Mus musculus: one gene and its partners. The protein of the gene in region 4 purifies or fractionates together with the protein of the main gene of each other region. This does not show direct contact. Links are inferred from orthologs where the notes say so. Each region holds a gene or a part of one and is shown on either strand. Other genes may lie near its edges. The genes, in order: Cul4b, Xpc, Cops7a, Ddb2, Cops4 and Cct7.

The links.
Region 1: the proteins of Ddb2 (region 4) and Cul4b purify together in Homo sapiens (affinity purification with mass spectrometry; 11 studies listed by BioGRID and IntAct, counting the BioPlex papers as one, with this or other methods). This does not show direct contact. The link is inferred for Mus musculus from reciprocal best matches to the Homo sapiens genes DDB2 and CUL4B.
Region 2: the proteins of Ddb2 (region 4) and Xpc purify together in Homo sapiens (affinity purification with western blotting; 5 studies listed by BioGRID and IntAct, with this or other methods). This does not show direct contact. The link is inferred for Mus musculus from reciprocal best matches to the Homo sapiens genes DDB2 and XPC.
Region 3: the proteins of Ddb2 (region 4) and Cops7a purify together in Homo sapiens (affinity purification with mass spectrometry; 5 studies listed by BioGRID and IntAct, counting the BioPlex papers as one, with this or other methods). This does not show direct contact. The link is inferred for Mus musculus from reciprocal best matches to the Homo sapiens genes DDB2 and COPS7A.
Region 5: the proteins of Ddb2 (region 4) and Cops4 purify together in Homo sapiens (affinity purification with mass spectrometry; 7 studies listed by BioGRID and IntAct, counting the BioPlex papers as one, with this or other methods). This does not show direct contact. The link is inferred for Mus musculus from reciprocal best matches to the Homo sapiens genes DDB2 and COPS4.
Region 6: the proteins of Ddb2 (region 4) and Cct7 purify together in Homo sapiens (co-immunoprecipitation; 3 studies listed by BioGRID and IntAct, counting the BioPlex papers as one, with this or other methods). This does not show direct contact. The link is inferred for Mus musculus from reciprocal best matches to the Homo sapiens genes DDB2 and CCT7.

Annotation. Positions count from the first base shown.
Region 1 is NC_000086.7:38,548,697-38,552,196, forward strand, and holds part of Cul4b (cullin-4B), read right to left. Parts: intron 3,028-3,500; coding exon 2,958-3,027; intron 2,244-2,957; coding exon 2,170-2,243; intron 1,304-2,169; coding exon 1,141-1,303; intron 982-1,140; coding exon 892-981; intron 596-891; coding exon 513-595; intron 1-512.
Region 2 is NC_000072.6:91,488,805-91,491,888, reverse strand, and holds the end of Xpc (DNA repair protein complementing XP-C cells homolog), read left to right. Parts: intron 1-578; coding exon 579-668; intron 669-1,436; exon of another isoform or gene 1,437-1,622; coding exon 1,623-1,832; 3' UTR 1,833-2,584; downstream 2,585-3,084. UniProt on the Homo sapiens protein: Involved in global genome nucleotide excision repair (GG-NER) by acting as damage sensing and DNA-binding factor component of the XPC complex. Has only a low DNA repair activity by itself which is stimulated by RAD23B and RAD23A.
Region 3 is NC_000072.6:124,962,713-124,966,701, reverse strand, and holds the start of Cops7a (COP9 signalosome complex subunit 7a), read left to right. Parts: upstream 1-1,189; 5' UTR 1,190-1,300; exon of another isoform or gene 1,301-1,417; intron 1,418-1,435; exon of another isoform or gene 1,436-1,550; intron 1,551-1,773; 5' UTR 1,774-1,816; coding exon 1,817-1,978; intron 1,979-2,314; exon of another isoform or gene 2,315-2,419; intron 2,420-3,989.
Region 4 is NC_000068.7:91,216,567-91,220,066, forward strand, and holds part of Ddb2 (DNA damage-binding protein 2), read right to left. Parts: intron 2,324-3,500; coding exon 2,178-2,323; intron 841-2,177; coding exon 741-840; intron 665-740; coding exon 487-664; intron 243-486; coding exon 100-242; intron 1-99.
Region 5 is NC_000071.6:100,517,164-100,521,108, forward strand, and holds the start of Cops4 (COP9 signalosome complex subunit 4), read left to right. Parts: upstream 1-1,145; 5' UTR 1,146-1,313; coding exon 1,314-1,387; exon of another isoform or gene 1,388-1,772; intron 1,773-3,945. UniProt on the Homo sapiens protein: Component of the COP9 signalosome complex (CSN), a complex involved in various cellular and developmental processes.
Region 6 is NC_000072.6:85,450,181-85,454,304, forward strand, and holds the start of Cct7 (T-complex protein 1 subunit eta), read left to right. Parts: upstream 1-1,324; 5' UTR 1,325-1,941; coding exon 1,942-1,947; intron 1,948-4,124. Other genes in the region: Pradc1 (protease-associated domain-containing protein 1 isoform b precursor), read right to left, coding at 933-999. UniProt on the Homo sapiens protein: Component of the chaperonin-containing T-complex (TRiC), a molecular chaperone complex that assists the folding of actin, tubulin and other proteins upon ATP hydrolysis.

The DNA of each region.
Region 1 (3,500 bases), on a different chromosome or scaffold from region 4:
CTAGTACTTTTTCCAAGTTTTCTTGCTTTTTACTAAGAAGGTGAAACAGCTATCTACGCTGCTTAATGAAACCACTTGGTTGCTGAGATTTACAAAGTACAGAAGCAGTTTCTCTCTGAACACCCACTCCCTGAATTTTAATCAGTCTAAGGATTTTACAAGCCGGGCATGGTGATGCATGCCTATAATCCCAGAATTTGGGAGCCTGGCATGGAAGACCACGAGTTCCAGGGCAAGTTGGGTTTTAGTGAAACTCTGACTCAAAAACACCAAGTTTTCAAGATCCCATCAACCTCTAGTATTATTTTAAAATTACACACTAAACATACACCAAACCAATAATCAAATCCTTGATTCAATCTAATTAGCCAGGGAAGATAATAACTTTAAGCTCACATTATAAAAACAACTGCTAAAGACTAAATCACACGTGAAAATTACTACAAGTTTAAGATGCCTAAAGTGTTTTATCAACAGTTTTAAGACTATTAGGCTGAGCATGTAATACTTACTGGGTGGTCTGATCTAAGTAAGTAATAAGTCTGTCAGCTTCTTCTTCTAGGCGTTTATTAACATGATGAAGATACTCAGGAACCTACAAAGATAGTTTTTTATATTATTGTTTTCCTCCCCTTAAATCATTCAGAAAATGTCAAGTCCAAAAGATCCAGGTAAGAGCCCCGTCAAATGTGACAGGGAGAAGCATATGTAAAGTTAGAGGTAGAGTTTATGATCCAGCATTGTGGCCTTTAAGGAGAGAGGAGAGAAAGGAGCACCTAAGTGAGAGAAGAGCATGGCCATGTCGGGAACAGAAATACAAAGGGAAGTTTGTGTTCTACAAGGAAATGGCTATTGTAAGAGACACTGGAGTCATTAAACATTTTAAAATACCTCTCTTTCTTGCATTAACTTCTGACCTTCGGCTGCGTAAAGCCGATTAGTTTCTTGCAAAAATTGCTGTTCAAAAGAATCTTGGTAAATCTAGAAAAAAGGGAAAACAAAAGTATTTGCTTAATCATTAAGTATTTACTGAATGACTTCCATCAGAACTCCATTTGAACAACACTCCATGGATTGCAGACAAACTATGAACAGTAATCAGATTTGTAGGTAGCACAGTGAGTGTTAAGTACAACTTACTTGCAAATCAGACAGCATACTTAAAAGGCTTCGAAGTAAACTTCTATCAATTGCTTCACCATTCCGCTCTCTCTCAATCAAGAGAAGGATGCCATCAATCGTTTTTGTCTGTACTTTTTGATCACTTATAATATGAGCCCTAAATAACTCTAATCCCATGTCCCTAAAATTAAAAACAAAAAAGTATCATCTGAATTGGCAATACCACATGTGCACAGGCTGACTTATCAAAGTCTGGGTCCTCAGACTTTGAAGTAGTAATTATAAAAAAAAATCCACATTTAATTTTGAATAACATTATTAAAGCATATAGGAAACCCATTTTGTCTTAAATGAGAACTGAAGCTGAATTCCTGGCTTCTTCCATAACTAGGTTTTAGTGTCTTATTTCCTCTTAGTGAAATTAGAAATAAAATTAGTTCAAAGACAAAATACTTTCCACTATACTGGCATTGAGCAGCTTATTTGGTCATTCATAAATGGCTTCAAAACTCTAAAATCAGGCTCTTGCTCTTACCTTCTTGCTCCCACTCTGTCCCCTCACCTCTTCCCCTCCTCCCCATTCCCCCCTCTCTCCATGTGTGGCCTCTACTTCTCTCCTCTCTCTCTCTGCCTCTACTACTCTCTCAATTCCCCTCCCCATTAATAAAGTATGCTAAGCACCTGCTGAAGGACCAAGACATTATGCTATCTTACTTTCATAAAACAAACAAGACTTTTACTGTAAAGTAACAAGAAAAATAAAAGAGCAAAACGTTAGTGAGCAGCAGCTCTAAGATTCAGGCACAGAAATTCTAGAGTAAACTTTAAGATCTTCATACCTAATGAAGAAATGTCTTCATACACTATGAGGTTAGCTATCTGCTAATACATTAGAGTAGGCAAAACAAAACAACCCCCCCCAAAATGCTAGGATCCAAATGGGAATTTTTAGGAGAATATTCTGAATACAGCTTGTTCTCTTTTGTTATAATAATTAAGACTATGGTATGTAACAAAATTTTCATAATAATCTTCTGGCATCCTTACCAAATGGAGGGTAGCATTGAATTCTGAAGAACATAAGTTCTATCCAGAAACAAAAAAATGCTCCTGATCATTATCTGTCAAATAAGAAGGAAAAAAAAATCAAGCAATTTTTGTAAATTTGAATCTTCAGTATTAGCTCTTAAAATGAGAATTTGGAAGATTTTACATTAAATAGACTACTAGGATCCAACTTAACAAATAAATAAATGTATCTGAGATGTCCCATATATTTATCTTTAAACTATTCTATTAATCCTTGTGGTGTTTTAAATAGACTACTAGGATCCAACTTAACAAATAAATAAATGTATCTGAGATGTCCCATATATTTATCTTTAAACTATTCTATTAATCCTTGTGGTGTTTCTAGAGAACAGAGAATTAAGATGGTCCTCTGACATCTTTGTTACTTAACTGAAAAGAAAAACTGGAGGTAGGCATGGGGTGCATGCCTATAATCCCAGAACTCAAGAGGCTAAGTAAGACAGAAAGATCTTGAATTTCAGGCCAGCCTGTACTACATAAGGTGATCTTGTCTCAGAAAAAAAAAAGAGGGAATCCAAGGTACACTTAGTCTTCCTTAGCAGCAGTGCTAGGGGGTAAAGCTATTTTAAACGTGTACCCATGGTATTTAGAAGGTGGAAAGTGGATTTCAAGATTTCTACTTGCATTAATATAAAGAATAAATTCCAGACTTTACCACTCAGCTATATCCCAATTCTTCCAGGAAAGCTATCAAAAACATTCTACCACCTCAATGTTTCTGAACTCAAGTACTGCCGACTTACCATTTGCCTACAGTGGTTTTGCCAGCATCTATCGATCTTTTTGAGAAAAAGAACACTATCCAATGAATCCATGAGACAGGTGTTAAGGAGATTTTAAAATGTTTCATATGTGTAATATAAAAACATAGTTGTCTTTAATACAGAATATCCCACATACTGATATTAAATACAAATTATAAACATAATTCTTTTTTTTAAACTGCAGAACCAAATATGATCCCCCTTAACCTACCTTTAAAACTAGTCTTAAACATAACTGAGCATTATGTTTTCTATTTGAGATTTCCTTCAAATGGAAATTTGCCAGGACAGGTTTATGACAGGAAATTTTTACTTAATTAAGTACCATACTTGTAGATTTTGACTCTCACATTGAAAAGTTTCAAAATTTTGTTCTTTCCTTTAGAGATAGCAGGACAAAAATAAATCTACCAGCACAGGCATTCCATTTCAAACTGAGCTAAGTAGTGAGAGGTAATGAGACAAACTAAGATACTTTGTTTTGAGGGGCTGGAGAGATAGATGGCTGAGCAGTTAAGAATA
Region 2 (3,084 bases), on a different chromosome or scaffold from region 4:
GGAGACACTCATGCATGTGGAGGCCCAAGGTTAATATCTGGACTCCTCAGTCATTCCCCCACCTTATTCACTGAGGCAGGGTCTCTCAATCAAACCCAGAGTTAGGCCAGGCAGTGGTGGCGCACGCCTTTAATCCCAGCACTTGGGAGGCATAGGCAAGTGGATTTCTGAGTTCGAGGCCAGCCTGGTCTACAGAGTGAGTTCCAGGACAGCCAGGGCTAAACTGAGAAACCCTGTCTCGAAAAACCAAAACTAAACCAAAACCAACAATAACAACAACAACAAAACCAAGGTTAGCTCACTGATAGCTAGCCAGCTTGCTCTGGGATCCTGTCTCCACTCTCTGAGGCTGGAATTACAGGCAGGTTACCATGCACACCCAGCATTTATGTGAGTTCTAGGGACCCAAACTCTCAGACTTGTGCAGCAAACGCTTTAACCACTAAGTGTCTCCCCAGGCAGGGAGACTGTCCTAACCTGAATTGCACAGATCCAGGTGTCAGAGCATCAGGCTCCGCCTTAATATTTTTCTGATGATGTCATTGCTTCACCTTCCCTTCCTTTACTTTTGTCTGCAGAAAAAGGAAAAGCGGGCGCTGGGGAACTGGAAGCTGCTGGTCAGAGGACTCCTCATCAGAGAGAGGCTGAAACTCCGCTATGGGGCCAAGGTCAGCATGGGGCCTTTGTAGACAAAACAAACCTGGGGTCAGATTCCTAAGATTACCACTCAGCTGCTGGCCCAGACTAACGTGTGACATCACGTTCTAGGTGGCTTTATATCAGGAAGCCTGCCTGCTGACCTCAGCTAGCTGCTCCTGGCCTGCCTTGTGTCCTGTTACCCTAAGCTGTTACACTGACACTGAGTTCCATGTCAGCAGTTCAAGTGTGTTGGACCTTTTGTGTCTGCACCTCTTGGCTTCCAGGACTCTCAGTACTGTGACCAGCTCTCAGCCTGCACACTCTACATATCTGTAGCACCTATCCACAGTACTGGGTATGGGGGAGGGCTTTCATCCCTGTATAGGCAGAACTTAGAACAGTTGAGGGATGGGTACTAAGTCAGACCCAGCAGGCCATGCTCTGAATGTTCTTTTCCCTTCCTGTTGCCTCTTGGTCTGCTAAAGACATTTTAGTCATGTGTTCCCTTGAATACCGTTAGGGACCCCTTCATCTGGCTTATTCTCACTTGTTCTTGCCTACCCATTTACTGTCTTACTGTCCATCCAGGACCCCTCCCCAGCTAACCCAGCCAGCCTCTAGGGGTACTGCCTTAGGCCCCTTAGTGCTGAAGGTTGGTCATAAGTACTGAACAGATGAAAATACCATGCATTTGTGTAGAGTAAGGTGGCATGCACAACAGCAGCTGTCTGCCCCTTAACTTGACTGAGCTGCCTGCCTGGGCATCTTCTTTCTACCAGCAGTTCTCACTTACGTACCTGCTTGGACGAGCTCCTAGACTGGAGAAGGCCAGCAAGGCAGCCTGGGCTCCCAAAGTACCACCCACATGCACCCTTGCCTTCCAGGAGGCCCAGGCAGGCTCAAGACTGGGTTCTTCAGGCCCTTATATAGTCAGTTATCTGCAGCTAACCATTAACTGTGGCCCCTCCACTGTCTTTCCCCAGAGCGAGGCAGCAGCTCCCCATGCTGCTGGAGGCGGACTCTCTTCTGATGAAGAGGAAGGGACCAGTTCACAAGCAGAAGCAGCCAGAGTCCTGGCTGCCTCCTGGCCACAGAACCGAGAGGATCCAGAACAGAAGTCCGAGTACACTAAGATGACTCGGAAGAGGCGGGCGGCAGAGGCTTCCCACCTCTTTCCGTTTGAGAAGCTGTGAAGCCAGTGTCCTCCAGCCAGAGAAGGCAGACAGCAAGCAGATGGGCTGAGGACTACAGGCCAGATGGGAGCTGTGCAGCAGATCAGTCTGACACCAACCCAGCCGGATCCCCATAGGCTGGTGCTGGTGAGCTGCTGTTTGGACCACTTTCCTGGGAGATACCTTCGGATCCCTGGACTTTGGTATCTTTAGAAATGTGAGTTTGTTTTAGAGGGTCTTATTTGTTACCCCAGCTGGCTTCAAATTCAAAATCGCCCTGACTTATACTGAGGGCTGAGATTACAGGCGTATACCACAATGCCTTATCTGTCCTTTATTTCTGTTTTTAAATAGAACTCACTGGGAAATTATGGGTACTGGAGCACTGAGACAAATCTTCCTTTAGTGCCGTTCACAACGCTTGCTTTCCTCTCCTTCAGACCCAGGGCATTTGCTTTTCAGGCCTGCCTTCCTGAGTCAGGTTTCCAGTACTGCCTGCTGCTCTTTTGTCAGAGAACGCAGGTCACCTCTTGTCAAGGCACTTTTGGGATTTTACACTGACAGAAGACTAGAACAAAGAGCTAAAAATCAAGAATGAGAAAAGAAAACAGAATTATGAAAATGTTCATAAAAGATTAGTTTTTGGTTACATTTTATTCAATTCTGGATACATTTACTCTGTACTGATGATACATTTTCTAAGCTGCTGTATGCTCTTCTCAGGAAAGAGTTCTTTTATAGGACCTCCAGGAAATAAAGCATTTACCTAAAAACCCCTGGCTGCAAATTTATTTTTCAGGCCTTAAACCAGCTAAGAAGGTTCGGCTAACAGATTTCAGTGTTTGGTGAGAAAGCACAGGTGTTTTCACAGGGGCTGGGAACTCCTCACACACCAAGGAAGCGTTTTATGTGTGGCCATATTTGATATTGCTTCATCTTTGAGTCTTTAAAATGTTGAGTCACTCTTACCAAGGCAAACAAACAAAACACTTGGGGTATGACTCATGTTGGACACTGGAAGAGAAACAGACTAGGGTCACCATGGAAACTGCACTCTTGTACTTTCTGCACCAGAGCCCGACAAGCTTCCCAAACAGGATTTCCTTTCTGGGGTTTTGGGTAGGCATGGAGGTGTCCCTCGAGATGCAGCCTATTCTGGGAGGTGTCAGCTGTGAGAAGGCATGATGGGAATGACATGTTAGGCTTGGAAAGTTTGCCTGCTTGAGAACAGCGTGGCAGTGCCTCAGATGGGAAGGAAACAACAAAGAGGTGC
Region 3 (3,989 bases), on a different chromosome or scaffold from region 4:
CTCCCAAGTGCTAGACCACAAGCATGCACCACCATCCCTCGAAGGAAGCGACGGAATCAGACAGGTATGCACTTGGACCCTATCCATATTTCTTTGTCCTACAGGTTAGTTCCAGAACTCAGCCCTTGAAGGTCCAATTCTCCTGCCTCAGCCTACTGAGTGATAGGATTACAAATCATCTAACAGTAAACCTGGCTTTACCTTAATTTCCTCCTTATATGGTTTCTGTAAGGATTTTTGTTTTGTTTCATTTTGAAACCTGGTCTATTTAGTGGCGGATGATCCAACTCAGAAATCCACCTAATTAAAGGTGTGTACCACCATGATATTTGGGAGATAGGGTCTCTCACACTGTAGCCCGGGATAACCTCCCAACATATAGCAATCCTCCTGCCTCAGCCTCCTGGATGCTGGGATTACAAGTGCCCGGCTGAATCCTTTAACTTTTAAATTTCCTCATCTGCCTTGGTTCCACTCACACTTTTCTCCTTGCTAATTTGGGATCCAAAGACTAAAAAAATGACTCAATATTTATTTGTAGTAACCATGGCCAAAAGTCTGGTCATGCGATCTGAAACTTCTATGGGAAGAAAACCTCAAAAGCCTAACCAATACACTTCCTTTTCCCCCTTAATCACTCGGGGGTTTGTTTTCTTTCTTATTGAGACCGGTTCTCATGTTGCTCAAACTGGCTTGGAATCTGCGATGGAGCTGAGGCTGGTTTTGAACTCCTGATTCTCCCCTACCTCTACCTCCAATACGCCGGGGGGTGGGGTGGGGGCATGTGTTACCACTTCCTGCCCCCTTACCCTTTAAACTTTTCTTCTGCTCTTTAAAAAGAGTGGATAAGTTGTTGGACTATTTATAGCCTCGTTTCTCTCCTTTCTCCCTTATTTTTTCTTTCTGCGAATTCTCGCCTTCCGCTAACGCTCACGTCGCCGCAGGAACTCGGGGCCGCCATCCTGCCTTGTCCTGCAGCTCCCGGGAGGGTCGCTCCCCCGGACCTCCGCAGAGCCGAGGTCCTCTCCGCACCCTGCATTCACCGCTCTCGCACCCATAAAGATGCACGGACAGAGCGGAAGATGGGCGCCGCTCTCGCGCCTCCCGCGGTCCGGAAACGGAAGCAGGCCGGAGCCGCCCGGAACCCGCCTCCCGAGAGCGGAAGTACGGCCGGAAGCTGGCCATAGAAGCGAGCGGCTAGAGCGGCCCTGCGGGGAGGTGGCAGGAAAGGCTTGGGAGCCGCTGCCGGAGGTGACGGAGCGGCCGCCCCGCCCCGTGCGCTGGGAGACGAGGCTTCCAGGTAGCCGTCGGTTGCAGTCGGTCCGGGGGTACGACCTGGCCTTGGGCGCAGACCCCGGCCGGTCCCGGGGCTGCCTCTTTAAGGGAGGGGGTGGAGCCGCGAGTCAGGCGCGAGGAGGTGAGGTCACGTGGGGGCGGCCACGTGCACGACTCGCGTCCCGAAGTGGGGGTTCGTCGTCGTCCGGTAGACACCATGTGCTATCTCTCCCTTCCCTGGTTCATCAGTCTTGGAACTCAATGGGGTGCACGTGGTGGGGCTTGGGACTGGGCCCGGGATGACGGAGCGGGTGGGCGTGGCAGCCAGGATGGGGCTGGCTTGGAGGAGCCCTCGAGTTGCCTTTTAGACCTCAGGACCCCACTTACTCACTGCGGATGTGGCGGGGTCCCTCTTGAGCGTGCAGCTCCCGTCCCTTCGAGCTGACCACCCTCGCAGGGTCCAGGGACCTTTAGTTTCACGTTCCTCTTTCCTTGCAGCTCCAGAAATCTTGAGGCCAGAGCCCCGCACCTCGGCGCAGCCATGAGTGCGGAGGTGAAGGTGACAGGGCAGAACCAAGAGCAGTTTCTGCTCCTTGCCAAGTCGGCTAAGGGGGCGGCACTGGCCACACTCATCCACCAGGTGCTGGAGGCCCCTGGTGTCTACGTGTTTGGGGAACTGCTGGATATGCCTAATGTTAGAGAGGTGTGTTGCTTGCCTGGGTAGTCCCCAAAGAACGTTGGGACCAAAGTTAACTCTTGAGTGCTGGGCTCGTTTTTTGTACCCAGTAACCACTCAGGTGATCGGGGTACCGATAATTAGCTCTCAACATGGAAAAATAAATCAATCAAATAAAGGTCTTCATTATCTTACAGATAAAGGGTCTGTAAACTTAGTGCTCCCTCCCTCTGTACCCACACTTTGAGTCAGGATTTCACTGTGTAGTCCTGGCTGCCCTAAACTAGTAACTATGGTCTAAGGTGGCCTTGAATGTGTGGGAAATCCCTGCCTATGTCTCATGCATAATTTTTTTTGTTATTTAAAAATATGGAACGCTTTACAAATTGGAGTGTCGTCTTTGCTCAGGGGCCATGCTAATCTTCTCGGGATCGTTCCAGTTTTAGTATATGTGTTGCTGAAGCAAGCAGAAATCTTTAATTTTGAAGCAAAAGAACAAGTCATTAAGAATACCACTGATAAACTCCAGCTTGTCCACCAGTATGATATCTTTTTGTGTTGGTTTTTTTTTTTTTTTTTTTTTCAGGACAGGGTTTCTCTATGTACTATAACTGTGTTCTGGAACTCTCTCTGTCGACCAGGCTGGCCTTCAACTCAGAGATCCTCTGCCTCTTCCTCTCGAGTGTTGGGATTAAAGACTTGTGCTACCATGCCTGCCTAGTGATACCTCTTAATAATCCTGTCACTAACATTTGGGAGGTAGAAAGAGTTGGATCTCTGAGTTGTAGGTCAGCCTGGTCTACAGATTGAGTTCCAGGACAGCCAGGGCTACACAGAGAAACCCTATCTTAAAAACAAAATAAGTCAGAAAACCTGGATCAGAAAACCCTCAGTTTTCTCTTTAAAATGGTGGTGAGAATCTAACTGCTGATAGAGTAGTTGCTTAGCACTTGTGAGGCCTTGGCTTCGATTTCGGAACTTGGGATGCTGAGATAGGGGACCACAACTTTTTAGATCAGCGTGGGCAACTTAGACTCCATCTCAAAAAGGAGTGGGGGTCTTTTCAGTGAAAGAGCCCTTGTCTGTAGTTTGCAAGGCTCAGTATAGGTTCAGTTCTCAGAACTGCAATGAGGAAAAACCTAAAAAAGCACACAGTTCCCTTCACGGTTACAGAAGTAACATTGTGGGGAAGTCTAAAGTCCCCTGAAATCAGAAAGAATGAGCATATTGAATTATGCCATGGTACCCCACCCCACCCCCAAAGTGTCACACATTCTGATTCATTTAAGGTAGAAAATGAAGATGCTGTCTTCTGCCCTAAGACGGTAGCAAAGCTATGAACACAGTAATGAGAACCACTCACAGAAATGGCTGCGTCAAGAACTTAGAAAGCATAGAGCAGGTGGATTGCCACTCTCGTGACACCAGCCTGTCACGAGAGCCTGACCGAAGTGTGTGGCTAAACTGAGCCAAGCATTAGAAGACCTTTGGTTGAATCAGGATAGAAAGTTACTTTGACTGCTGTTTTACAAAACACTGGCTTTTGTTGCTGATTTTATCCACAGTAAACTGAAGTATATCGTTAGGATGAAGTAGATGCCAGTGAAAGAGATCAGATAAGTGAATGAAAATATATGTCAGCAAGTCAGCCATTTATCAGTTATTTACTGCGAGGGCTGCAGCTCTGCTGGGTCTAATGCCTTGTTAAAAGACTGTTAAGTGAGAACCTACAGGGATGGTATGCCAGGATAAGTGGGGGTGACAGGAAGGGAGATGCTGTGGATGAAGTAAGCCCTCACTATGAGGACATTGCGAAGCAGTGGCCACACTATACCCTCTGGGGGCCACACAGTTTACGATGTCTGGTGTACGCGTGTGCACCTGTAATAGTCACAACACTGAAAGTTTTAAGCTCTGAGAGTAGGAATTAGCTGCTTAGCGCAGCAAAGGGCCAGAGTAGAGATGAGCAGCTGAGGGACCAGGATAGGTACTGTTGGGATGGATGGGGTAAGATCAGGGCCTTCTTGTCACTTCCTCC
Region 4 (3,500 bases):
GTTATTCTGAGATTGTAGGCTGTGTATGTGACCCTTCCCCCAACATGGAAAGATCTGTCCCCTTCCCATAATGACAGATCCCTTTCTCTTGTCACTCACCTTGATGGGTGTGAGGTGCTGAAAATGGCGGTGAGGGTGGGAGATCAGATTCAGGGGGCTATCCCACTGGGAGGCAGAGTAAACCCGAATCTCATTGTTCTGGTCAGTAGTCAGGAGCCGAGCTCCATCTGGGCTAAAACAAGCTGACAAAGTGAAAAGCCCTTAAGCTGAAGGAAGCCTCAGCCCCTGGTATCCTGATCTTCCAAAATACCTTTCCTTTCTAGGTAGGGGAGGAGAGATCAATCTGAACTATGAACAAAACTACCATGGCAACTCCACTGCCAAAGGAGCGGTCGGAGCCAGAAAGGGTCCTACACACCATTGACCTGATGGCTGGTGGTGAGAAAGACAGGGCACATAAGGAAGATGGGGTTTGGGATGTCACACCTGCATTGACAGGATGCCTGTGAGGCAGTGAGTAGAGGAAGCTGTCTTTCCCTTTAATTTGGCGCAGGTCCCAAATCTTCACTGTTTGATCTATGGAGGCTGTGGCCAGAAGCCAATCACAGCAGGGATTCAGGGCCACGTGGGCTACTTTCTTCTTGTGCATTCGGAGGTTCCAAAGCTACAGAGAAAAGTTTGGTTCAGGTGTTGAACCAAAGAGGGGTGAGGGGATGGGGCGTGGGCCACACAGTACCCACCTCCTTGCCATCTGTGCTCAACAGGATCACATGTCCCATATTGTCTCCTGTAACCACCACTCTGCTCTTGGCAGAAACATCAAGGCTGCAAAACCAGACCCTAGAGGGAGAGAGTGTGCTGTAAGACCCTTCGAGACTGAGATAGTCTGTTTAGTCACTGTGACAACTCCAGTATCAAGTATTTGTTGAATCAGTGAGTAACTGTCTTACTATAAATTTCCAGTGGAGGGTTTTCAGCCTTGTTTACCTTGCAGAAAAGGGCTGTGAAAGAGTACAGAAAGAGTTGACAGAACTCAGAAATGTGTCCAGTTATTGCTGAGCCCAGAATCCTCAGCTAGTTCCTGGAACCTCAGAGCAAGAATACAAATTACAAGGCTAGCTTGCTCCCCACAGCCCAGGAATGAAGAGTTTTATTTACTATTCCCACTCATCACTCCTCAGTCTTTGCACCAAAGGAGAGGGCAAAGCAAACAGGAACTGTTCAGCGGAGCTCCTCGAAGCTGGCTAGACGTGAACATCTGTCCCCTTCTGAGCATTTAGGGAAAAAAAAAAAAAATCAAAGACTACCAGAACCTTTTTACTCTCGAAAACTATGTGAGAAAAAAGAGACTCAAGAAGCAGGTATTTCATGGATGCTGATTCGAAGCCAAGAGAACTCCAAGTCCATCTAGTCCCCTCTCCTGATGTTGTTCTCAACCTTATGGGACAGCCCAGAATAATAACCAAGCTGCTTAGACTCACTGCACACACCCACATATCATCCTTAGCAAAACTGTGTCTCTGGCTAGACATCAAAGTGGCCTGCATGTGTAATTTCTCCAGCCACTTATTCTTAGGAGGATTCTTCCACCTGTTAACACTGCCACCAAGGAGACAGCAAGGCCATTACATCCCGGAAAATGGAGGGCAATAACATTGCACTTCTTTTTTTTTCTTTCCTGCCCCCCTTTTTTCTTTCTTTTCTTAAGATAGGCCCTCACTATGTAGTTCTAGACGGACCCAGCTGACTTAGAGCTCATAGTGATCCACAAGCCTCTGCCTCCCAAGTGCTGCCATTAAAGGTAAATACCACCACACGTGGCTAAACTTGTCCTTGATTCCTGCTCTACTCTGTAAATACCTTTCCAAGCAAAATACCATGTTGATTTATCCTGTGAAAGTAAAGGTCTAATTTAATACAGCTATAACTTACAGAAGTAATTAAGCCCTTCCATCAAAGACAAGAGCTAAGGATCCAGAATGCCTTCCTAGTGTAACGACCCACTCAGGTCAAAGTCAGAGCCACCAGAATCTAAGGAGGAAAAGGAATGGTGCAAAGTGGCTAAGATCCCTGTCTTCCCTGTGCTGGGCCAAAGTGACAGAAACAGAACTGGGTATGTTCTCAGCAAACTGCATCTAGAGCTTAGAAGCCATTTCCCTTACAAGTTAACTACTCACTTGCAAGAGTTTGAGCTGGTATAAACTCTGAGAATGTTGCCTTTAAAATCCTGCAGCCTGGTTGTTCCCTCCATTGAGGAGGCAAAAAACTGGTTGGTATTGAGATGGTTAAACTTCAGCCCAGTGATGCTTCCTCCAGCTCCAATCTAACATAAGGAAGGAAAAAGCCAGTGAGTAATGATGGGCCAGAAGTGCGGGGCCGGGTCTGGGCACCCAGACAGCACCGAGGCAGCAACACCAAGGCCAGCTTAGATACCTCACATTAGAATATCTGTTTTTAAGGCTTTATTTTGACTTTTATATTGTCGATTAAGAGGTAGTAAATATGACTGGTTCTGGTACACGGCTCTTCGAATTTCAACACACACAAATATCTGAATAGCCTAGCCACCCCCAAAATTAAGATGCAAACATTGACTTCATAAAAACTCCCTCATGCTGCCCTACTTTATCACATTTCTGGCTTACATTCTCACGTTCAAACCTTGGAAACCGCAGCATGCTCTTGTTATAAGAGCTTCAGCTCAAAAAAAAGCGATGTTTGGTGGACAGGGAACTATCTGTATTCTTTCCTGTCCTTCCAGACATTTTAAGCAGTGATGACACAACTGAGCCTGGAGGTCTAGGAAGTGTAAGAACACTTGCCTAGTATGCACAAGGCCCTGGGTTTGACCCCCAACTACACACATCCTCCCCACCCCCTACAAATTAGAAAAGTGGGGAGTAACACCTATGGCTTAACATTTATTAAGAGGCTAGAGAGATGGCTTCATGGTGAAGAGCACCTACTGCTGTTTGGAGTTCAGTTCCTAGCATCTACATAAGATGGCTCAAACTGCATATAACTCCAACTCCAGGGCATCCAATACCCTCTTCTGGCCTCCTGTACACAAGGCATACATGCATGTATACACACATACACACACATACACACACACACACACACACACACACATACACACACATACACACACAAACACACAAATAAATAAATAACCAACCAACCAACCAACCAAGCCAGGAATAGGAGCACACACCATTAGCCAGCAGTTGAGAGGCAGAACAGATCTCCGATTTCAAGGCCTACTTGGTCTACATAGTGAGTTTCAGGACTATATATAGTTCCAGGGCTAATAGACTGTCTCAAATAAAGTAACAAATACAGTAAGAGCTAAAGCCAGGCAGTGATGTACATGCCTTTAATCCCAGCATTGAGTAGAAAGAGACAGGTAGATTTCTGTTTGTTTGAGGCCAGCCTGTTCTACAAAGCTGGTTCCAGGTGAGCCAGAGCTGTTATACAGAGAAACCCTGTTTTGAAAGGAG
Region 5 (3,945 bases), on a different chromosome or scaffold from region 4:
GCTGGCTTCCAAGTCGATAGGATCAGGGGTATAGACTTGAACTCCTGATTCCCTAGCCTCCACTTCTGGAGTGCTAGTATTACGGTGACCACCATGAAACCTAGCTATTTATTTGTTTATAAGGGGAATGTGCCAAAAGCAGTCCACTATGATCATAAACTGTGCAGTTGAGTTTCCTCCCAAGTGGAAAAAACGCAGACATCGGCACACTTAGATGCCAGTGACTCATCGTGGGAGGAGCATATTCTTGATCGTGGTATACTCTTTCCCAGGTAAATGATCTGAAGAACCAGCCTGTCTCCATTTCAGACTTAAAAGCCATCTTATATAGTAAAGACAGATTAGGTTCCTTTCTGTTTACCATTAAACCTCTGTTCCAGACAAACTAGGTTCTTTCTTGTTTATGACTAAACCTTTGTTTGTCAGACATTGGGCTATTCTCCACCTGTAACCTTAACTACAAAATGTTCTGCACTGCCTGTTCCAGGAATAGAAGTCATGTCTTTGCTTCAAGAAGTGGTTTATAACCACCTTGGAGCCTTATCTGCTGCATAGGTTCCATGACCACCTATGACTACCTTGTTATGGCTACCTGTTGTGTTACCTTGTTTTGCTCGCCGCCTAGTTTGCCCGCCAAATCTCCGATATGGAACCCCTTACCCCTGAGCTATAAACACCTTGTCTTCCTTGAATCCAGGGCTGACCTACTGAACTCCACCTTAGGGGAAGGCAGCTTGTGTACACGAATAAAAAAGCTTGCTTTCATGGATTGCTTGTTGTAATTTGTTGTAAAATGATGATTTGGGTCTGTTGTATTTTTCCTCTTATCTTTGGAATTGACATTCCGTGTGTGTGTGTTGGTTGGTTTTTGTTTCTTTTTTCTTCAGTGTTGGACTATAGTGAATTGGAAGTAACTCTTTACATAGGTCGTTTAAGTGATGCCTTAAAGAACGGAGCGGAGAACGATAATAATCAGTCCCGGAACTTAGGGAAAACGTCGTCCTTTGACTTGCCGGGCCTTTACTGAAGTTGCACAAAGTACACGCCCTCAAGTTCTTCAGCCAATCCCAGGTCGGAGCGTGAGCGCCTGCGTCTCTCGGGAGACCTGGGCGGTCCTCAAACCGGAGGAGAGGAGTCTGGTGTCACTCAACTCGGAGGGCGGAGCTAATTCCTGCTCCCCTATCCGGCGCTCTGGCCCACAGAGACGCTGCTCTATGGCACCTCGCGTCCCCTCTGCCCGCCTCCTGGAGGACCACGCTCGTTTTCTTCTTGGCAGCGAGAGGTCCCGCAGCCGTGGCTGAGCTGGAGGAAAGATGGCGGCTGCCGTGCGACAGGATTTGGCCCAGCTCATGAATTCAAGCGGCTCTCATAAAGATCTGGCGGGCAAGTGAGTATTTCTTAGGAGTACAGAGGTAGGAAGGAAGCCGCAAGTTTATCTTCCCAGAGGCGACGGGCGCTCCGGGGCGTGAGGCTCGAGCTAGGCCTGACTCAGGGGGGCGGGCCTGAACTCGGCTGTGGCGGTAAATGTTGGGAGCAACAGAAAGCTGTAGGGACGGTATGCTGGGGTCCTGACCGTCCCAGGACCCCAGGTGGCTGCCAGCTTCTTAAGTCCTTGATAACGCCCTCTGCGGGTTCTTTTGGCTTCTGGAAGCGAGGTAAGAAAGATGACGGCTCGCCCGGCGGTGGGCGCCTTCCTTAGAGTCTCTTCGGCGAGCCCGACACACCGAGTTTGACTTCGGTTCGCTGCCGCCCCTGCCTTCGCCGTGTTGGAGGTAAATTTATATTCTGGACTTTGATGCAGACTTTTATTTCGAAGAGATGGCTTTCCAGGATTGATAGGGGCAGAGGAGGTATGGATGCTGTCATGTGGTCCAGAACTTCTCTCAGTTCATAGCGTGTGTGGGTCCTTATGTTCTGGATACTCGCAGTCTGTCACCAACTCTGGAGAAGAGAACACAGGCAGAATGTCCTCGGGCTCAGGATGTCTAGAACAGTGATATTTCCAGGGTCTGCTAAGGAATTTTGTCGAAACCTTAGGGTGCTTAGAGCCACGACAGGTCAAAAATTGGGACATGTTTCAGTCCCCTCAAGCAGTTGTTGAACAGCTGTAGTCTTCTTTGTGTAGATTTTTCACAGTTTTGCCTTCTAATGAAAGTATGCCTTCAATTGGCCCTAACATTTACACCTCACAGCTGAGGGCATGTTGATCTAATTAATGAAATATTCTTGCTCAAACCTGCACATTGAAATGGTGTGTGTGTTGTGTGGCCGCTGTGCTGGGCTTTTCTGTGTAGAAAGTACAGTCTACCTTATTAGTGGGAAATTTAGTTGTATAACCTGGGCTTAACTACATCATTCTTTATTTTTCCGCTTTAAAAAAATGGAAGGGTAATCGTGAGGCTTAGTCTTATCTGATTTCAAAATGAGCATGTGTCTATGTACTAATTACACTTCAATAACTGAGCACAGTCCCTGGTATCTGGAAAATGTCATAATGTTGTTATGAAGCAGTCAGTAAGTACATACGACTTATTCCAGGGGTTGGAAATAGTTCATTTATGTCTTCATCGTTTGGTTGTTTTTCCATGTATTAATACTTTTATAGCTTTGGATAGAAGTCAAACTAGCTTATGTATTCCCTTATATTTCCTTTGTTTTTTTCTCTCTTTATTACAGAAAATGTAAGTTCATTAATTATCAGCTAAGATGCAGGTGTTAGAACTTGAAAATCTTGTGGAACTTCATTACTATTTATCTCTCTAGCCCGGAATTAGAAATGAACAGTAGCATGTCTCCAATAGGGTGTTTCTTTTGCCTGTTGTAGCTAAATAAGTACACAATTGAGTAATATAAAAGTGACACCCCCCACCCCCCACCCCGGGATTCTGTATGTTGCCTGGCCTGTTTTCTTGATCTTACCTGGTTCAGTTACGCAGATTAATTTGGCTAGCAGATGCACTAGGGCTGGCCACGTGTAGATAGATACCTGGCAGTTGGCTGGATCTTTTATTCTCACTACATGGTTTAGCTTTGGCTTTTTTTTCTGGGACTTCCTGCATCAGAGTGTTCTAACAGGGTGAGAGTGGAAGCTGTAAGGCATAAGGCTAGTCTGACAAGTCTCACATCAGTTCTGTAATACCAATGAAAGCAAGTAGCGAGACCAGTCCAGATTCCAGGGGAAAGGAAATGGAATATATCACTAACTCTTTAGAAGCAAAGTGGTATTTTGCAGGAATATGAATGGAGGGTGGAGTGCCAGCCTACCAAGTGGATTTCCTTAAGAGGAAATGAAATACTTTGCTTGATAATGGATAGCCCATGCAGTGTTAGTTGGCACCCTCTCAACATTGCTTTCTTTCTTAAGAATTAGCTTATTATTTTTATTTATGTGTATGTGTGCCGTGTGTGCAAATGCCTATGGGTGTTCAAAGAGGGAGTGCATCCCCCTGAACCTGGAGTTACAGGTGGTGCTGAGCCACCTGGGTGGATGCTGGGAATTGAACTCAGGTCCTCTGGAAAAGCAGCAAGCATTCTGTTAACCACTGAGCCATCTCCAGGCTTCAGTGCTTTTTTTCTGAGGATATTCTTGGCCTTCCCTTTAGGTATTTACCTAGTACTATCTGGTAAGAATGTGTCAGAATTTACTTTCATAACAACACAGTTCTGCCAGCCACATACTTTATGATGTACATATGTCAACTCATCTGTTCGTTTATGGTTTTTATGTTGGGAACTGAGAAACAAAGGCTCTCACTTTAAGAAATTATAGAGTACAAGATTTCTAATGCTGACACTTTCTGTTCCATGCAGTGTAGTGTTCAAGAATTGTTGGTTAAATCAGTGACAAGCCAAGGGCTAGGGTTGGGGGCATGACGTCTATTTGAACCCAGGTTTTTTTCAAAAGCTCACTTTTAACCATCCAGATCATATTGCCTCCCCTCCTCC
Region 6 (4,124 bases), on a different chromosome or scaffold from region 4:
TGGTTGTGAGCCACCATGTGGTTGCTGGGACTTGAACTCAGGACCTCTGGAAGAGCAGTCAGTGCTCTTAACCACTGAACCACCTCTCCAGCCTTAAGTATGTGGCTTTATACAGAGATGAATCTCCAGTGCCTAGGACACAGTGGCTGCTCAGTAAAGGTTACTAAACAAAGAACTCTGCCCAGCTCTGCTGTCCTGAACAAGAGAATGGCCAAAAAAACCACGAGAGCTTTGCTAGGATATTTTTTCTCAGTTGGATTTGAGTCCCTGGATTCTTTAAACTTGCCAGAAAGGCAAGTAAATGTTGATGGATGGAAGCTCAGGTCTGTTAGTCAATCCAATTGCTGTGTCTATAATTGATCCTGTCTATGGTCCAAATTACAGCTCAGACAGAGCTAAGGGGGCTTGCAGCTTTTTGTCCTGAGTGTAGGTACACTTCATCAGATGGATAACCCCCCCCCCCCCCCAGGAAGCCTTCTGGATTAACACCAGGCAACCCTTTCCACAAGCACACCCCTGTCTGGCATTTGATGTGCTTATCTAATAAGCTTCGGGTATATGCATGTGTTCACTTAACGCGTAGGTGTGTACATTTATGTTCGAGTTGTGTAAGTGGGTGCCTGTGCGTGTGAGCCCATATGTGTGTTCCTGCCTATAAGAACGCTCACATCCTCCGTTCTGGATCTCTAGCTGTCACCAGGGTCGCCTTCAGTGGGAGGAAAGCTGAAAGCTCTTGTTTCGACGGGGAGGGGTGGGGTTGTCAGGTTGTGCCTACTCACTGACCCGGGAACCAGCATCCACCCGCTGCAGCCGTCTAGTCCCTGGATCTGGGCGGCCCAAACTCGCGGGGTCCCCAAGGTGACCCGTGGCCCCCAGCCCGGGAAGCGCGCACGCTGGATTCCCGCCCCGCCCGCCTGTCCGTCGCCGCTCACCGTGGGCCGCGACGCACGTGGGCAGCCAGAGCACGAGACAGCACCAGCCCGCGGCGCCACGGCTCATCTCCAGGGCCCGTCCCGCCGCCGCCGCCGCCGCCGTCCCGCCGCGATCCCTCGCCCGACTTTAGCCTGACAGCTGCCACGGCCTCCCTCAGGCCCGCTCTCCGCGCCGGTTGGAGCACAGAACGGAGGCCAGCGGCTGATTGGCCGCCACGCCTGTTCGTGTGGCCGCACTTTCCTCCTCTGCGCCCTAGGCCACTTCCTATTGGCCAGGAGAAGTGGAACCGGGCGCTGATTGGCCAAAACTCTTAATAGCAACTGCAGTTCGCGGCCCCGCCCCCGCACTCCTCCTTATAGACGCGCCTCCCGGAACCTGCGGTGGGCGGCTCGCGGGGTTGCGCGGGATCCACGGCTCTCCTCCCCAGGCAGAGACGGGCCTCGCGCGAAGGGGCAGGCGGCACGGCGCCGCCTCGGCCGATAAGGGGCGCTACAGAGCTAGAAGCCGACCCGAGCAAATTTCCTGCGCCCGAGCGGGCCGCGCACCTGTGACCCGGGACACTGTTCCCAACTTCCCAAGCTACCTGTGAAACTCACGGAGCTCCCTCGCCACGGAGCTGAGCAGGTGCAGTGAGATCACTCACCTAAGGTGCTTCTCCTAGCCGGTGTTCAGTACTGATAGCTCATTGCACGTCTACCATGGCGTCTGGGAGCGCGGGCTGAGGCGGGACCTTACCGCACCTTACAAACCAAAAGCACTGCGAGACTCGATGACCCCCGCCAAAGCTAACGCGAGTTCCTAGAGCGTCCCTGGACCTCCGACTCCTCTAGCCGGCTACCTCGGGAGCTAACCATAGAGTGGCGGAAGTGGTCCGGCCCCTTCCTCTCCCGGGCTAACGTCTCGCCAGAAGCTTCTGGGCATTTCTCCGGCGCGGAGCATTGTGGGCTTGGGTGGGCGGCCCCGAGGCGGACAACTGACGAGTTGCGGGTACCTGAAGCCGCTTCCAAGATGATGGTGAGTGTCTCTCCGCGCATCCGCTGCCATCCACGACCCTGCGGCCCTGGCCCGCCATGCGGAGTGTCTACAGTGGCTCGTTTCCGCTCCCCGGCCGGAGGCGGCCTTGATCCAAAACTGAAGCTGTTGGCGAGAGCCGAATGGGGCTCGCGATGCCGCTGGGCCTGGAAACCATGGATCTCATGGTGCTTGGGACCACAGACCTCTTGTTCAGCCTGTTCCCCGTAATGGAGGCTTGGGTTTTCGGAACCGAGTGTGTGTTGAGCTCTGTACCTCTACCATAAGGCCGGGTTACATCGCCCTGGGAGGTGCGGAAGTGAAGGCGCGAGCTTCTAGGCGCACAGAGGCAGCGTGAGGGTCTTTAGGTTGGGCCAAGTGACGCCCTGCCTGGCATTGTGGTCGTTTACGTTCCCGCATGTGGAAAGACAGAATCCTTCGTTCCTGTTGGAACCTGTTCGTTGGGGGCATTTTTAGTTCTCCCGAATGTACTTGGTGCTGGAAAAGGGCAATTGATGTACACAGTACCAAAGATGGGACGACCTGAGTACTTTAGGCAGGAGAGTCTCTTAAAGGTCTGCCTGTAATCCTCCTGCATCACCCTTTATCCCCGACAGCGTCAGATACCTCCCCTGTTCCCCTGTGATAAACCTGAGTTGTTAGTGAGCAATGTCAACTTCCAAGACAGAATCCTGTGCGTTTGGCATCAGCACACTCGTTAAGTTTTGCTTTTTAGTGTCAATCCTTTGTCTGCCTTTTGCAGCTTCTTCCTATGCGTAGATGCCAGACAGACTTGGAAACCTGTAAGGTCCTCCCTCTGCTACCAAATTACAGCTTCTCCTCCGAAGGAGTCCCTACAGAAGCATGTCCATGCTCCCTGACCCCTAGCGCTTGAAATTGATTTGGTCGGCGAAGACCAGAGCTGAGGCATAAATCCATGAGTCATATGTGCTGCAGTAAAATATGCATCATTGCTGCTGATATGACCAGTGGCCCAGCATTGGCCAAAACAAGTAGCAAACCTTTTATCAAAGGGTCCCAGACCATCACATTTGGGTTTTACCTAAATTGATGATTCTTGTTTCTGCTGCTGTGCTGCATACTTACAGCTTATGAGCTGCTGGTGACTCTTGTTTCCTCCCATCTTGCTGTAGCAGTTCTGGGATTACAGATATATACCACAATGACAGACTTGTAATGAGTTCTGGTGCTTAGGCTTATGCATCTAGCAGCTTTACCCCTGAGCCACTTCCAGGGCCTCCTCCAACTAATTGTTTAATAGATAGTATTGACTTTTGTTTTATTTAGTGTATGTGGGTGTTATGACTACTGTGTGCCTGGTTACTATGTACATGTAATGCCCATGGAGGTGTCAGATCTCTGGAACTAGAGTTACAGATGTGGTGACCCACCTTGTGGATGCTAGGAGTGGAGGGAACCCCAGTTCTGGAAGAGCAGCCAGTGTTGTAAGAGATTCTTCCAGTCAGTCCCTTAAACGATCTAAGGAAAATGGAGAGGAAGATTAAGACGAAACACTAAAGCCTTTTATGGTTCTAAGGGTACTAAGCCCTTGTGAAGGAACAAGAAGAGTGAGGTGGAAAGTAAGGAATGGTTCTAGGCAGTACTATTGCCAAAGAATGGCAGAAGGGGACCTACCTTGTAACCATAGCTTGGCTTACTGTACTGCTGCCAGCCTTATTTTCCCTGTGGCTGGCCTTGATATCACAGCAGTCCTCCTGCCTCCACCTCCCAAGCACGCACTGGGATCATAGCTGTGCACAGCCATGCCTGGCTTTAGATCAGTGGTTCTCAACCTTCCTAATACTGAAACCCTTTTATATAGTTCCTTGTGTTGTGGTGACCCCCAACCATAAAATCATTGCATTGTTGCTTCATGACTAATTTTCTGTTGTTATGAGTTGTAACATAAATACCAGTGTCTCCATGCCTGTTAAAGGGCCATTTGACTCTAAAAGTGTCACAACACACAGGCTGAGAACCACCGCTCTTGACTGTCCTAAGGTTTGTTCCAGAAGGACCATGAGACTGTGGGACCTTTGGGAAAGCATTTTCCTTCTAGATGGAACTAAGGAGTGCCCCCCAAAATGCTGAGAGTATAGAGAAGCCCTTTCTTGTCACGAGACCCTGGATACTCTGGGAAAAGGAAGGTATTTACTCTT